Callithrix jacchus: one gene and its partner. The protein of the gene in region 1 purifies or fractionates together with the protein of each later gene. This does not show direct contact. Links are inferred from orthologs where the notes say so. Each region holds a gene or a part of one and is shown in the gene's direction. Other genes may lie near its edges.

Region 1 (7,350 bases):
TAAAACATGTACATTTGTTCATATTCAAATGTGTTCATTTATTATGGGATTCAGTCGTTAAGAGTGTTGGTCTGAAGATGGAGTTCTAGACATAGAGTTTGTCAATTGCATCATTTATATGTTATCAAAATTTTCCATTTTAGTTTCTTTAAACTGAAAGAGAACATAGAAAAGCCTATGAAACAATATGAATGCAGATTTCTGTTTAGATCTTTTAACTTAGAGACAAACTTCTATAATTGTCTGAACTGTCCCTGATTTGACTGTAGTTTTCCTTACTGGTTTACTTTTTTCACCAGTGAAAAACTTACTCAGCTTACACAATTATTTCATAAGACTTTTTTTTAATTTTAACACTCATATTTTATTAATTTCTGTAATATGTAAATAAATTGCTGGACTTCAATACTGAGTACAACTGCCGTAAAGGGGTTTTGATGTAAATACAATTTGAAGAACATACAGATGAAAAGATGGTATCAGAAGTACTGAGCTTAGGAAGAGAGTGAACTAAGACCACGTAGGGCTGCATGTGCCTCGACCATTTGACGGAAGGAACAGAGGACGTTGGTCAATGCTGTGGTTAATAGGGTTTGTTAAGAGTCACTGTAGAAAGCAAAGATAGAAAGTTGCATTCATAAAGCGGTATTTTCTTGGAAAATTCTAGCCCCCAAGGCAATTTTTCCTGACCAAAACACCTGAAACTCAGTGTCCTCAGCTGAAAAATAATTTAAATAATAATAATACCTGTTATCCACCCTACCTACTTCAAAGGGTTGTGGAAGGAGCTAAGTGATGTTGGTGAAGGTACTTAAATCTCTGAGCCTAGCACTAGGAGTAAGATTAGCTATAGTAATAATAATTTTAGACAATCTGACCCATTCTATCCCTCTCATATATTAAGATAACCCAAATGAAGCTAAGCATGAAGATTTTATTTACTTATAGCCACATTCTATGTGATGATGTTTAGCTTATAGAGCAGTATCTGATACTTAAATATACAAAATCTAAAAGGAAAATAACTTAAAAATAGATTTTTTTCAGGCAGTTAAACCACTTTCTTTTTCATTAAACACAAATAGCCCTAAGTTGGTGGGGGCCAGAAGGAGAATCAAGGAAAAAGAAAGATTATAAAAACATGAATTTGCGGCTGGGCGTGGTGGCTCATGCTTGTAATGCCATCACTTTGAGTGGCAGAGGCGGGTGGATCACCTGAGGTCAGGAGTTCGAGAACAGCCTAGCCAACATGGTGAAACCCCATCTCTACTAAAAATACAAAAATTAGCTGGGTGTGATGGCACACACCTGTAATCTTAGCTACTCGGGAGGCTGAGGCAGGAGAATCGCTTGAACCTGGGAGGTGGCGGTTGCGGTAAGCCAGCGCTGTGCCACTGTACTCCAACCTGGGTGATAGAATGAGACTCCAACCTGGGTGACAGAATGGGACTCTGTCTCAAAAAAAAAAGTTTGCACTTCTTTGCGTTACATCCTACATTGCTGTAAACCAATTACAAAGAACTGGTTAATGTCCAAAATCTTTTCAGTCAGGGTTTCATAATTATTGTTTGCACAAGAGACACAGTCCTCTGGAAATCCAAATTATGGATTCTTAGAATTAATACATAATTTTACTGAAAGGATAAGCCTAGTTAGCAAAAGAATAGTGATGATTTGGGGTTATATTCTGCTAAACAGCATGCTATTTTGAATTACCTACAATGAATGTGGTTTCACAGTATTATCTGTAAGCCAGTGTTTTTCTTCCTTGCATTTTCTGCCTCTTTTATCTCACTGTTAGCACCACAATAAAGAAACCCTAGAAAGCTGTACAGGAAAATAATTTGAACGTGAACTTGTACTCTCAGAAACAACTGCATTTGCAGCTCTTTCCCACTTCATATTCAAAAGTACCCACATTTATCTGGTCTCTTTTTCTACTGTCATCTAAATGGGGGAAAAATGTATTCAGTGTGTAAAAACATGCTATTGTATCTCAGAGAGGAGATGGGATGCTAATTAAGGGTTATTTGAATGAACAAGTCACACTGCATTGTCTACTGGGAGCTGGCTGCCAATTGCTTTTTTGGTAACAAGTCAAGAAAAACATTCAAGAAGGCCCCTGCAAGCTTGGGAGAGAAGCAAGGCACATTTCCATTTATCAAGTAGGTGCAGAAGCATGTTCAAGTAAGTATTAAGAATCAGGGTACAGACAGTAAGCTCCTGCCCTGCAGCTTTTCTTATTGGTTTTGAGAGCCACCTTCCTAAAGAGAGGCCTCCTGCTCAGGTCTGATCGTGGACAATGGGGCACGTACGACAGACTGCTGGACTGCTGAATGAATGCCTCTTTCTTTGTTCAATAACTTTTTCAAGATTCTTTGTCATTCTTCTTGGACTCATCGGGAGGCATGGGTTTTAAGATACGCGGTAGCTCGGGTCTTACAGCAAAATAATTGATGCTTCATTGAAAGAAACCAGGCAAATTGGTTAGTATGATTACCTTTAACAAAGTGGGTAAATTTTAGACATTTGGCAACTCATAGATTTGGAGAGTAATGAGTTGCTCTATTTTAAAAAGATTTCTTCTCTTAATGTTAATGTAAAGTCAGCCAGAGTAAGCCTTTTGGTCTGATAGCCTGAGAGTCTTGGGTGGCATGTAAATAAAGGGAAACAATTTACTTCATTTGAAAAAAGGGTCAAAATGTGGAGGATGTAAATGTGCTTTTATTGTAATGGATGAAAGAAATGGATTTCCTAGGTGAAGTGACTTCCTTCACTGTGCTAGCATGTAGGGTAGTGGTACTTAGCGTGATACAGCCCTGGAGGCATGTTTCTGATTCTTTACATGCCTTTTCCTTCAGTTCTGTAACTTTGCGAGTCTTTTGCTGCTCTTTTAAATCTATAAGTATTTAAATTTTTGTCAAGTGTGTTCATATGCCTTTGACATAGATGTGAAGAGACAAGTGTCCTGGGTATTAAAAGGTCCTGATTGAAGGCAACAAGTGAAAGAATTTCTATGTAAATGTGTGGATGGTTGGGAGAAAATCAGTGCTATTTAACTATTTCTGAAATTAACATTGCTTCCAAGAGCACTCAAAATGAAACATCAACGTTTGTCATTTTACATTCTTTATCATCAAAATTTGTGGTAAAAGTTATTTTGCAGTTTAAAAAGCAAAATAATATGACATTATATGTATGCTTGAATCTCACTTTGCAATTTTTAATTAATAATTAAAAATTGGATATATTTTAATTTATATAACCAGTAACTGGATATAATAATATGAAAATAATGTTTAGGGCATGAAGATCTAATCACTTTGGGCCAAAAATCTATCACCCAGAAGTTTTTAAATAACAATAATAATAATATGTTTTTAAGTGCTTATTCTGTGCCTGGCTTTATCCTAAGTACTTTTTATGTAGCAAATCATAAAGAAACTATAACCAAAGGAGTTGGGTATCTTGTTCATGGATTCACAGGTAATGAATGGTAGAACCAAAATTTGGACCCAGGCTCTGAGTTCAAAGTCTGCACATGAACCACCATGTATGTTGCCTTGCTCGCAGTATAATTATTATCACTCTTTTTAAGCTCCTCAGGAGGGTCCATTATAAAAATATTTTTAACATCTTTTTTATAAATTAGTTTCATAAGTGAAAAAAACCATTGGTCAAGGAAAACATAATACCATAGGAGTGTTAATGGTCATTATATCTGCCTTACATATAAGGGAAACTTGGTTCTGTGGCATCTAACATATTAGATATTCTCATTAGACACAAGTTTGATGAAGCAGGAAAATGTAACTTTCCTCAATTATTGTGGGAAAACATTCTTTTTATTTCTAGTCAGCACAGGATAAATTCTAATATTTGGATCTTAATTGCTTTATTCTTAAATATTTTAGCTTAGTTCTTAATTTCTCTGTGGAGTTTTGGGAAATTTTGCCTTTTTTTTGTATGGAGTCAGCAGTGACTGACAGGCACATGTAAAATTGATACTTTTTTAAAAATCTCTTAAGATATAAGTTACATACCATAAAATCTGGCTGTTTTAAGCTTTATAATTCAGTGGTTTTAATAGATTTATAAAATTATAAAAATTGATATTTGATTTTTTTAAATTAATCAGGTAAAACTCTTGAGATGCTTAAATAAAAAGTACTCCAAGGCTAATAAAAGCTATTAACGTTTGCTGTATTCTCTTTCCCCTCCCCCAGAAATGTGTGCTGTACTGGCCAGAAAAGAGAGGGATATATGGGAAAGTGGAGGTTCTGGTTATCAGTGTAAATGAGTGTGATAACTACACCATTCGAAACCTTGTCTTGAAGGTAAGATTATGTAGCTATAGCCATCTACAAAGTAGGTGATGTTAGAGGATTACATTTCTACTTTGAAATTATTTATCTTAATAAGTACTACAAATTCAATTTAAGCAAATTAAATAGTTTTAAGATCAAAGAGAAACTATAATCATTCTCTTATGTATTTTTTGTTGTCAACTACTATTAGTATGTAGTATAATTAAATCAATGTAAGTAGACGTTAAGAAAATTCATTATGTAGGATGTTGTGATCCTCTAATTTGCATTAATAAAACATCTCTGATTTAAACTTTTGAAAGCTTTTAACTAAAGGCTGTGCTGGAGACTTTGCCATGATTTTTTTTGAGACGGAGTTTCGCTCTGGAGTGCAATGGCACGATCTCGGCTCACCGCAACCTCCGCCTCCTCGGTTCAGGCAATTTTCCCGCCTCAGCCTCCTGAGTAGCTGGGATTACAGGCACGCACCACCATGCCCAGCTAATTTTTTGTATTTTTAGTAGAGACGGGGTTTCACCATGTTGACCAGGATGGTCTCGATCTGTTGACCTCGTGATCCACCCACCTCCGCCTCCCAAAGTGCTGGGATTACAGGCATGAGACACGGCGCCCGGCCCTGCCATGATTTTTTTTAATGTCATTTTGGTCTAAGCAGCTTTAAGTGAGGCCTGGAAGCTGTGAAAGTGAAAATCTGCACTTGTGGGTGTCAGTGGGAAGCAAGACAAGCCTGAAGTGTTGATGAGATCTTCAGAAGCGTGGAGTTACAGTAATTTATAGGGATTTTCCCCAGATGAGATTATGTCATAGGAAAACTATCTTATTTAACTCCTGGGCAGCAGATGCTGAGAAACGTTGCCATGGTATTACTTTTGCTTCTGGAGAATAATCACCCAAAAATTTCGATCTTATCTGCAGCCTCACTGCTGGGACAAAATCATCACAAAGAGGAAGAAAACAGAGGCAGAGCTACAGGGATGGATTTTATTGGGAAGTTTGGAATAGGAAGGCACTTACCGAAATCTGTTTTTCAGCAAACATTGTGGAGTGCCGGGTTCATACCACACCCCCACCTGTGCTGGGTTTCAAGATGATGTGTGTGGGCCCTCGCCCAAAGTGTTTCCAATAGAGGGACCTCCTGTAGCTTCTTTATTGCTGGGATTCCTCACTCCTATTAAATACTGGAGTTTGAGATGAGTGTAGAAGTAATAGCATGACTGACATGAAATTAAGTGTTCTATTAATATGTGTATAATAACTTGTCAGGAATGCTCATGGAACAGGAAACAAAATATATCCCATTCTTTCTTGGCTACATTTTCACCTACCATCTTGTTTATTAAAAGAAATTATATATATGCTAAATATATATTTAGCATATCTTACATGTATGAACTATACTATAACTATAGGTAGAGATACAAATCTTCACAAAGGTAAAACTTTCTCACTTCGAGATCAGGATACGGACAGTAAAGTCTTCTCAAAATAAAAGGGCACTCTTCGAAAATCTTGTAGATTTTTTTCCCACCTAGAAATAAGTTGCCAGCAAGATGGGGGTGATAAAAGGCATCCAGCATTGTGGTTTGGATGACTTTTAGTTCCACAAGTGAATGAGGCATTTGGTGCCTGTTGCTATTTTCAGCAAGGAAGTCACACCCAACATGTGAAGCATTACTGGTACACCTCATGGCCCGATCACAAGACTCCAGACAGTGCCCAGCCCCTCCTACAGCTCATGCTGGATGTGGAAGAAGACAGACTTGCTTCCCAGGGCCGAGGGCCTGTGGTTGTCCACTGCAGGTAAGACGTGAATGGTACTTTCTGTCTAAGCAATAGCCCATTCTTTATAAAGTCACAGAGCAGGTAGAAGTGGGTTTTGCTTCCGGGATGTGACTTTGCTGGAAAATTATTTATTGAAATTGGTTAACTGCCTAATATTTGAGTCTTAATCAAGATTATGCTGACAGAAGTGAAGTCATGTTTTGAGGCATTTTTGGAAAACAATGATTACACAACGGGTGAAATACAAGTTCGAAATAAGTGGCTCAGTAAACAGGAGACCTTATTCAGCAGTTACCTGCTTTAAAATACTGATTCATTTAGTCTCATCAGTCTTGTAGGACCAGGAATTAAAATGCATTTTTTTAAATCATCAGTGGCTTTTCTGGGATTTCATGATGACATCTGAACTCTGCCTGGTTTGTATCTTGGTAACATTTATTACCATTTCAAGTTTGGTGAAAACCAGTCAATTATTTTAACAGTTATCTCAGGAAAAACAGATTGAAACAAATTTATGAAATAAGAAGTGAGCAAGTGGTAGTTCACCGAAGGAAAACAAAGTACTGTTACAGAACGTAGAGCACCAGAGGCCAGGCCAACAACAGCAGCAGGGCGTGTGGTGGTTCCTGTCCCTCATCTCTAGTTCAGAACTCTCCTCCTGGAACTCATACCTCCTTCCCCTTGTTTTCCTTTTAATGTAACCAAACTGAAGCAAGCATTTTTAAGGTAATTTATATGATCGACCATTTATTTATTTTGAGACATTGTCTCACTCCATCACCCAGGCTGGGCAGCACCGTGGCACCATCTCAGTTTACTGCAAACTCCACCCCCTGGTTCAAATGATTCTCCTGCCTCAGCTTCCAAAGTAGCTGGGATTACAGACATGTACCACCATGCCTGGCTAATGTTCATGTTTTTAGTAGAGATGGCCTTTCACCATGTTGACCAGGCTGGTCTTGAACTCCTGACCTCAAATGTGATCTGCCTGGGTTGGCCTCCCAAAGTTCTGGGATTACAAGCGTGAGACACCATGCCCAGCCACCCATTTATTCTTCATGTTTTCTCAAAATAATTTTTGTTGCTTTGTTTAACCACATAGGTCTCTTAAAATGGCTTTTGATAATATATTTAATAAATATAATACATTATTTTAGAGTATAATTTTAGCCTCCTTTTTTGAGATTATGTGATTTAATTAAGAGTACAGTTTACTATGTGTCTATTTATTCAAAGGTAG
Region 2 (7,920 bases), on another chromosome or scaffold:
CTGCCTGGGGACCCGCCTTGGCCTCGCCGCTCACCGCCTCAGTTCCCGGCGCCCGGGAGTCTCCCGGCAGCCGCAGCGGCTCACCTGCTCCTTGGCGGGGGCCGGAGTGGGGCGCTGGGGTCTCACACGGCTCCCGCCTAGCTGGCGGCGCCGAGGAAGCGGACACCGGCGGTTCCCGAACCGTTGCGGCCGATCCCGCCGGCGTTCCCGGTGGACGGGAGATGAGAGTGGGGGAGGGGACGAGGAAGGATAGCAGGAACAGCTGGGCTGGGGAGCCAGGAAAGGGGTATCTGGGCCGCCCTCCTCATACGTGAGCCAGTACTTGGTAAACCTCGGTACCTGTACGCCAACGCTCCTACTCTCTCCGAGGTTTTACTATTCCTGATCGAGGGCCTATTTGGTGCCCAGCCTCGTGCTTTGAACATACAGTAATGCACAAGTGTACTGCACAGACGGTAATTCACTAACATCTCCTGAAGACTTAAGCCTTCCTCAGGTCAGAAGACCTAAAAGGAAATAGAGGCTAGGAAGGTCACCCGGGTCTCCAACCATAGGCCCTCTTCCCTACAAGCCTGGCTCCCAGCACTGGTTGACACCCTCCTGCCCAGATCTCTGCTCTGCAGGCAGATTTGCCCTCTGCACTCACTCCCTTTACCCTCCTCGCACCCTATCCCTGTCCCCATCGCTGTCTCTCACTCCACCTTGTATTCCTGCTTGGCCCAGTTACAGTTTTACACTTGTTTGTTTGATGACTGTGTTAGTGTCTACCTTATTATTCACTTTATGTATTCCTTTTTGTAAATTGTCTTACCCCCATGAGGGCTGGGATTTTTATCCCTTTCAATAACTGTTTTATTATCAGTGCCCACAACAGTGTGGTGGACATAGGAAGTGTTCAACAAATTTGTGTTGAATGATTGCCCTCCCATCGATTGTAAGCTCCACACAGGCAGCAACTGTAGTTTTAAATTACTTTTTAACTACAAGTGCTTGGCACCCAGTAGGCATTTAATACACATTTGTTGAATGAGTATACAAATATACTGCTTACTTTATCTTTATCCTTTTATTTGCCCTCACCTCATCATACCAATTTGTAAGGTAAAAATGTGCATTTCTGAGGATTCCTACTTCCAGCCTTCCTCCTCACCCCTTGTAACCATCCCCTCATTCCCTTGATGCCCCCCACCCCATCCCTCTCTTCTTCACAATCATGTTTTTACTCTTACTTCCCCTTCACCCTCCATTACATCTTAGAAAGCTTCCTAGCCTCCCTAGTTTGGAACATTCTCAAGCATTATGTTTTTATAGATAAGAGAATTCCAGCTAAGCTACATTGGATCCAAGACAGCTTTCCATGAATCACCCATGACTCTGTTTTCTGGTTTTATGTTGCTTTCCTTGAGGAGGACTGAGGATCCTGTACCACCTCCTAAATTGAAATCATGGTGATTGTTCATAATTTTTCAATAAATACGTATGGGACATGCTTTATGTTCTAGACACTGTGCTAGATGTTGGGACAAGATAGGCAAAGTCTGAGCCCTCCAAGGTATGACACGGGAAATGATGAGAAATGTCCTGGCTTGCACCCAGTTATTTCTAATACAAGAAACTAAGAGAATCAGACAGGATCTGATTCTTCTGCTCATTGTAACAAGCTTTAGCATAGGTGTAGGTTGATAATGGATGTAGGCATGAGGTTATAATGCCTTGCCCATTTACATTTATCTTGTTCAGTTTTTACACATGACTCTGTTCATCGGGAATGCAGGGCAGAAATTCCTAAGGGTTTTCCTGAACTAAGGGTTCAGGAAAGGTCAATTGACTTGCCTAAATTTGATGAGACTCATGCCCTATTCTTCTTACTCCAAGAGGCCTAAGTTAAAGGCTTAAAATCCTCTTCACTGATGGCTCTTCAGGATAGGAGTCAGTTTCAAGTCTTCAGTGTAATGGTTTTTTTAAATGCTTCTCAAAGGGAAATATCAGAGACTTTCCTGAATCAGAACCACCTAAGATGTACTATAAAAATACATGCTCTTGATGCCGTCCTCTGACCTACCCAATTAGATTCCCTGTGAGTCCTGGGAACTTGCATCTTAAACTCCTAGAGTGATTTTTCTGCGTGTAAGTTTAAGAACTACTAGGAGAGTTTGAATGGAGAGCCTAGCTTTGATGCAGGTTGACATTTGTTTTGGGGGGCAGATTTCATCAAGCATCTTGAAGAGTAACCACATGTCCTTGAACAGATGGGAATGCAGCAGCCTTCTGGCCGGAACTTGTCTCTTTTTTATGCAAGTGTTTTTTGGAATTTGGGGGTTCTGTTGAGCAGGTGCTCAGCTGCTGGGAACTACTCTCTGTTAAAGATCTTTTGGCTCTTCCCCAACATGCTATTTGTCCCTCTCGTTTCCCACCACAGAGCCAGGTATTTGCCCCGCCGGCCACGGTGAGGCGCGCGCGGCGTGTGCTGCCCGCTTATCTCTTTCTTCCCTAGTGCTCCTTCGCGCCCTTAAGGAGACAGTCCCTGGGGAATTTCTGCCTCTGGTCTACAGTTGTTGCTCTCTTCTCGCGAGAATTGCTTCTCCCATATTCTCCTCTCACGAAGCCCCGCCCGCGGAGAGGTTCCATATTGGGTAAAATCTCGGTTCGCGGAGAGTTCCAGGAGCTGTTCTCGCGAGAGTACGGGGAGGCTCCCGTTTGCTGGCTCTGGAACCGGGACCACTGGATCCTCAGCGGGCGCAGCTGGAGCAGAAGTCCTGCGACGCAGCCCAGAGTCGGCCTAGTAGGGGCGAAGGTGCAGGGATATCGCGGCGGGCGCAGCCTTGAGCGCCAGAGCGCGTCCCTTCTCTTAACCGGGCTTGCCCCAGTCGCAGAGGCGCATCCAGCCGCTGCGGCTGACAGCAGCCGCGCGCGCGGGAGTCTGCGGGGTCGCGGCAGCCGCACCTGCGCGGGCGACCAGCGCGAGGTCCCCGCCCGGTTGGGCGGGCAGCAAGGGCCGGGGAGAGGGTGCGGGTGCAGGCGGGGGCCCCACAGGGCCACCTTCTTGCCTGGCGGCTGCCGCTGGAAAATGTCTCAGGAGAGGCCCACGTTCTACCGGCAGGAGCTGAACAAGACAATCTGGGAGGTGCCCGAGCGTTACCAGAACCTGTCTCCAGTGGGCTCCGGCGCCTATGGCTCTGTGTGGTGAGTGTCGCCGGGCCTCGCTGGGGCTGCTGTGGTCAGGGTGGCCCCTCGCGCCCGAGGGCCAGGCCTGCCCCACGGCTCAGCGTTGCGTCAAGTGGCAGGAATTTTCCTCGGGGGAGGGCATTGCTGCCCTTCGAGCCCTGCCTGTTCTGCACCTCCTGCACCCCTCGCCCTGCACTCGCGGGTATGTGGTCCACCGTGTGCAGCACTCAGGTCCGCTGCGAGAGGTAGGTGGTGGTGCTGGAGCTCGGTTCTGGGTAGCACCCTGCGCCTTCCCATCTCGGAGGGTTGCTGTTCGGCGGCAGGCGCCGGGGGCAGGGCTGCTTTCTTGGGGGGTCTCCCTACCGACCTGGAGCAGAAGGACCCTCTCCCGCGATGCGCCCACGCTGGAACGCGGGAGCCTGTCCTTTGAGCAGACAAGCTCGGGGAGCTCCCGGGAGAAGCAGAAGGGCAGAGGCCAACCCGAAGACTTCAGTCATCTGAACAAAACTGAGCAGGAAGGGAGCTCTCTCCGGGCTTTTTTTTTCCTTCTTTTTTTGCAAACCTCTGTCGAAATCCCATCTTGAGAAGCGTTCTTTTTGAATTCGCACTTGAGTTAGCACCGATCCATAGAGCTTAAAATACCGACTTTATCTCAGTGAGCACTGTGCCAGCTTGAGTGGTGTGTTTCCGATTCAGTTGAAAGCGTATTTCCTTTCCGTGGAGGGGCGGCGGTGGTAATGCTTGCAAGAACACTGCAGCTTGAGAAACTGGCAGCCTCACTGATTAGTCACATACCACTGCTCATTTAAGTATTGTTCGACAAAACAATTTTCTCCTTTGGAGCAAGAAAGATTCAGATCTGTGAGGTGCCCTCAAGATCAAAAAGTTATTAACAGTGCTGGGAGGTATTGTAAATTTCTTGTTGTGATAATTCCTGCGAATACTGTGGTTTAAAAGTCCCTCAGAGAGTTTGCAGGGAATTATCTGCATTTATGGCTTGAGGTACACGATGGTTTTCGTAAAGATATGGAACCACATAGAAAAGGAAGGGAAGAAATACTTTTTAGCTTTAATTTACACTATGAGTGTGTTTTAAATTAAGTCGATATCATATGATTTCCAGACCTGAAATATTTCACTAACTGACCTCTAACTTCCAAGGTTTTATACCCTGTATTTTAGATTTTGTATCATTTGAAAGCTATGGATCTGAAACTAAATATCAGATTTAACGGTTAGCTTTTTCTGTGTTTTAGTAATTCGTGTTTATGCAAGATTTGAAAAGGGGCCTGTAAAATCGTTTTTTGTTTTGGAACAAATTCCAGGCTTTTGGATGTGTTAATCTTTAAATATGATTGCTGTGTTTCCTGAAGTCACATCATGAATTTCCTGTTTGGTAGAATCTTCTGGGTAATTGAGATTGTGCAATTGTGTCCAGCAACAGATCATGTTGCATTTTCTAGTTCAAGCTGCTTAAGTTATGTTGTAGAATGCACCGTGCTTGACATCTTTCTCTCATTTTTACAGTGTGTCAGTTTACATTTTAAAGGAATTTGCAACATTTTACATTCAGAGAGAGAGAAAGAGAGTGTGTGTGTGTGTGTAGTTGATTTACAGCATTTTACATGCAGTATATACGTATATATATCTACTTGAATTGCTAATTTTCAAAGATGTATTTGGATCATTGCTCCTTTAATATTTTATGGCTCATTAATAGCTTTCCATTTTTTTCTTTCTTGAATTGACACATTCATTTCTGTAGTGTCGTGTTTTTGTTTTCAATGCTATTTAAATTTTAATGGAGTGATACAGCAGAATAAGTCAACTGTAGAGGGTTTGGGAAACTCCAATTGAATTGCTTGCAAGAGTTCACTGCTGTTGGTGACTCGCTCTGAACTGGAACAGGAGATCCAGATTTACAGTGAAGTGTCATTAAAATTAACTCCACATTTCTTTAGTGGTATATTTTTCTGTGGTATAGAAGTCAGCAGTATCTGACACTTAAAAGTACTTTTATTGAACAGGTTTTAAAAAATAGGTAGTGCATTGACATTGGATAAAATTTGAAAGCTTTAAAAAGGTATTCAGTGAAAAGTCTCCTTTCCTTTTTGTTCTCCAGTTACTCTACTGTCTCTTTTTTTTTTTTTTTTTTTTTTTGAGACAATCTCGCTCTGCCACCAGGCTGGAGTGCAGTGGCACAATTACGGTTCACTGCGACCTCCATCTCCCGGGTTCAAGCAGTTCTCCTGCCTCAGCCTCCTGAGTAGCTGGGACTACAGGCGCATGCTATCACGCCCAGCTAAGTTTTGTATTTTTAGTAGAGACAGGGGTTTCACCATGTTGGCCAGGATGGGCTGGATCTCTTGACCTTGTGATCTGCCTGCCTCAGCCTCCCAAAGTGCTGGGATTACAGGCGAGAGCTACTGCACCCGGCTACTCTCTTAAAGACAAGCACTGTTAAATGTCTTGTGTGTCTTTCCAGGGAGGCAGAGTTTTTTTATTTGCTTGTTTCTTTAGTAGTATTTCTACTAAAGGGATTTAAGATGTAACCTACAGCATATTGGTAAAGGAAAATACAACTGAAATTATATGACAATTGACAATAAACCAATATAACTAATGTTGGAATGAAATATCACAATTTAGATTTACAAGTAAATGTTATTTTATTCACAGATTCAGAGTAGTTATTTGAAGTGTTCGTTCTTTCTTTTTTTTTTGAGAAGAAATCTCATGCTGTTGCCCAGACTTGAATGCAGTGGCACTATTTCGGCTCACTAAAACTTCTGCCTCCTGGGTTCAAGTGATTCTCCTGCCTCAGCCTCCTGAGTAGCTGGGATTACAGGTGCTTGCCACCATACCCAGCTAATTTTTGTATTTTAGTAGAGATAGGGTTCTCCATGTTGGCCAGGCTGGTCTCAAACTCCTGACCTCAAGTAATCTGCCCTCCTTGGCCTCCCAAAGTGCTGGGATTACAAGCCTGGCCTGGAGTTGTTCTTTCTATGAGTACCTTTTTAGGTATGGCAGAAAACATTTTTTGGAACTTCTTTTAGACTCTACTTTGGAGCCTATGTTACTCTTTTTTTTTTTTTTGAGATGGAGTCTCACTCTGTTGCCTAGGTTGGAGTGCAATGGTACCATCTCTGCTGATTGTAATCTCTGCCTCCTGGGTTCAAGTGATTCTCCTGCCTCAGGCTCCCAAGTAGCTGGAATTACAGGTGTGCAACACCATGCTGGGCTGATTTTTGTATATTTAGTAGAGACAGGGTTTCACCATGTTGGCCAGACTGCTCTTGAACTCCTGACCTCAGGTGATCTGCCTGCCTTGGCCTCCCAAAGTGCTGAGATAAGGGGTGAGCCACCGTGTCTGGACCTCTGTCTTCATTTTTTGAGAGCAGATTTGATTTTAGGGAATAACAGTCCATTAGAATCCAAATAATTTAGGGAATTTGGACTCAAGTCTGATAAGAAAGATTAGCAATCATGTTGGTGATACTACTGTTTTAGGTCAGATAGGAGTTATAACTATAAAGTAATGGCACAGAATTTTTCATGTGACTCCTTGAACTGGACCTGAACTCTACTTCCAAAAAAAAAAAATTCTCTGAATTTTATTTTATTAATATTTATTTATTCATTTTGTAGAGATAGAGTCTCACTGTGTTGCCCAGGCTGCTCTCAAACTTCTGGCCTCAAGCAGTCCTTCCACCTTGGCCTCCAAAAGTGCTAGGATTATAGGAATGAGCCACCACACCCAGCCCCTGAATTTTATTTTCAAGAATGAAAATAAATGAATAAAATATTTCAGTGAATAAAATAGTTATTGAAGTATTTGTCAGCTTCCTAATTTTATTGCTCTAAAGTGTGGTATACTTTGTTGTGTAACATTTACAAATTATTTTAAGCCTATATTATTTTAATTTATACTAAGTATTGTAAAAAAACAAGTAGCAGCCTGTGTGATAACCAACTGTGAATCAAAATAGGGTTTTACAAATATGCCTTTTCTTTAAAGGGTAAAGGGAACTAAACTAGACTATGTCAGTTTTAAGGAACTTCATGCATTGTCTGTGAGGGGAAATGAAGCAAAATTGTTTAAGAATACGTTGTTACAAAGCATTGATTTTGGGGTTTTGGGACAGAAGGGAAGAATCTTTGTGGTGAGTTTCAGGAAATACAAACAGGAACTTAAGTGCCTTTCCTCTGGGGTATGGTTTTTCCAGGACCTTGCTGTTGATTAGAGAGGACGTGGGGCACTGGTAACCATAAAATAGGAGGTGAGAGTTGAGAATTACTCTTGGAACATATTCAACTGTTTATTCAACAGTGTTTATTGAATACCAACTATGGGCCAGGTAGCAGGCTAGGTTCTGGAAACAGTGCTAAACAAGAGAGAAACAAGACAATCCATTCTTTCCCGGAGCTTATAGCCTAGTGGGTAACTACATTTTATGGGTTGCTTACTATGTTCTAGCATTGTGCTGTGCACTTTATATTTATCAGCGTAGAAAGCATATAACAAAACCTTTAGTAAAAGGATAGCAACATTTACTAAGAAATCAAATCCAACTTCCTAAGTGCTTTGTGGAACAGGATTATTCTAGTGTAATAAACATAAGTGAAGCGAACATTTTTTTTAACTATTAATGGCCATTAATCATTTTAAATCTTTTTTTTTTTTTTAACATGACCCAGGGCACAAACACGTAAAATTGCATTATTATTAAGTGTGCAATGGTGACTTTCTTGACT

What was found.
Region 2: the proteins of PTPRR (region 1) and MAPK14 purify together in Homo sapiens (affinity purification with mass spectrometry; 4 studies listed by BioGRID and IntAct, counting the BioPlex papers as one, with this or other methods). This does not show direct contact. The link is inferred for Callithrix jacchus from reciprocal best matches to the Homo sapiens genes PTPRR and MAPK14.

The regions. Positions count from the first base shown.
Region 1 is NC_133510.1:73,188,137-73,195,486, reverse strand, and holds part of PTPRR (receptor-type tyrosine-protein phosphatase R), read left to right. Parts: intron 1-4,226; coding exon 4,227-4,337; intron 4,338-5,970; coding exon 5,971-6,128; intron 6,129-7,350. UniProt on the Homo sapiens protein: Sequesters mitogen-activated protein kinases (MAPKs) such as MAPK1, MAPK3 and MAPK14 in the cytoplasm in an inactive form.
Region 2 is NC_133505.1:44,335,030-44,342,949, forward strand, and holds the start of MAPK14 (mitogen-activated protein kinase 14), read left to right. Parts: upstream 1-2,695; 5' UTR 2,696-3,067; coding exon 3,068-3,183; intron 3,184-3,357; exon of another isoform or gene 3,358-3,369; coding exon of another isoform or gene 3,370-3,410; intron 3,411-7,920. UniProt on the Homo sapiens protein: Serine/threonine kinase which acts as an essential component of the MAP kinase signal transduction pathway.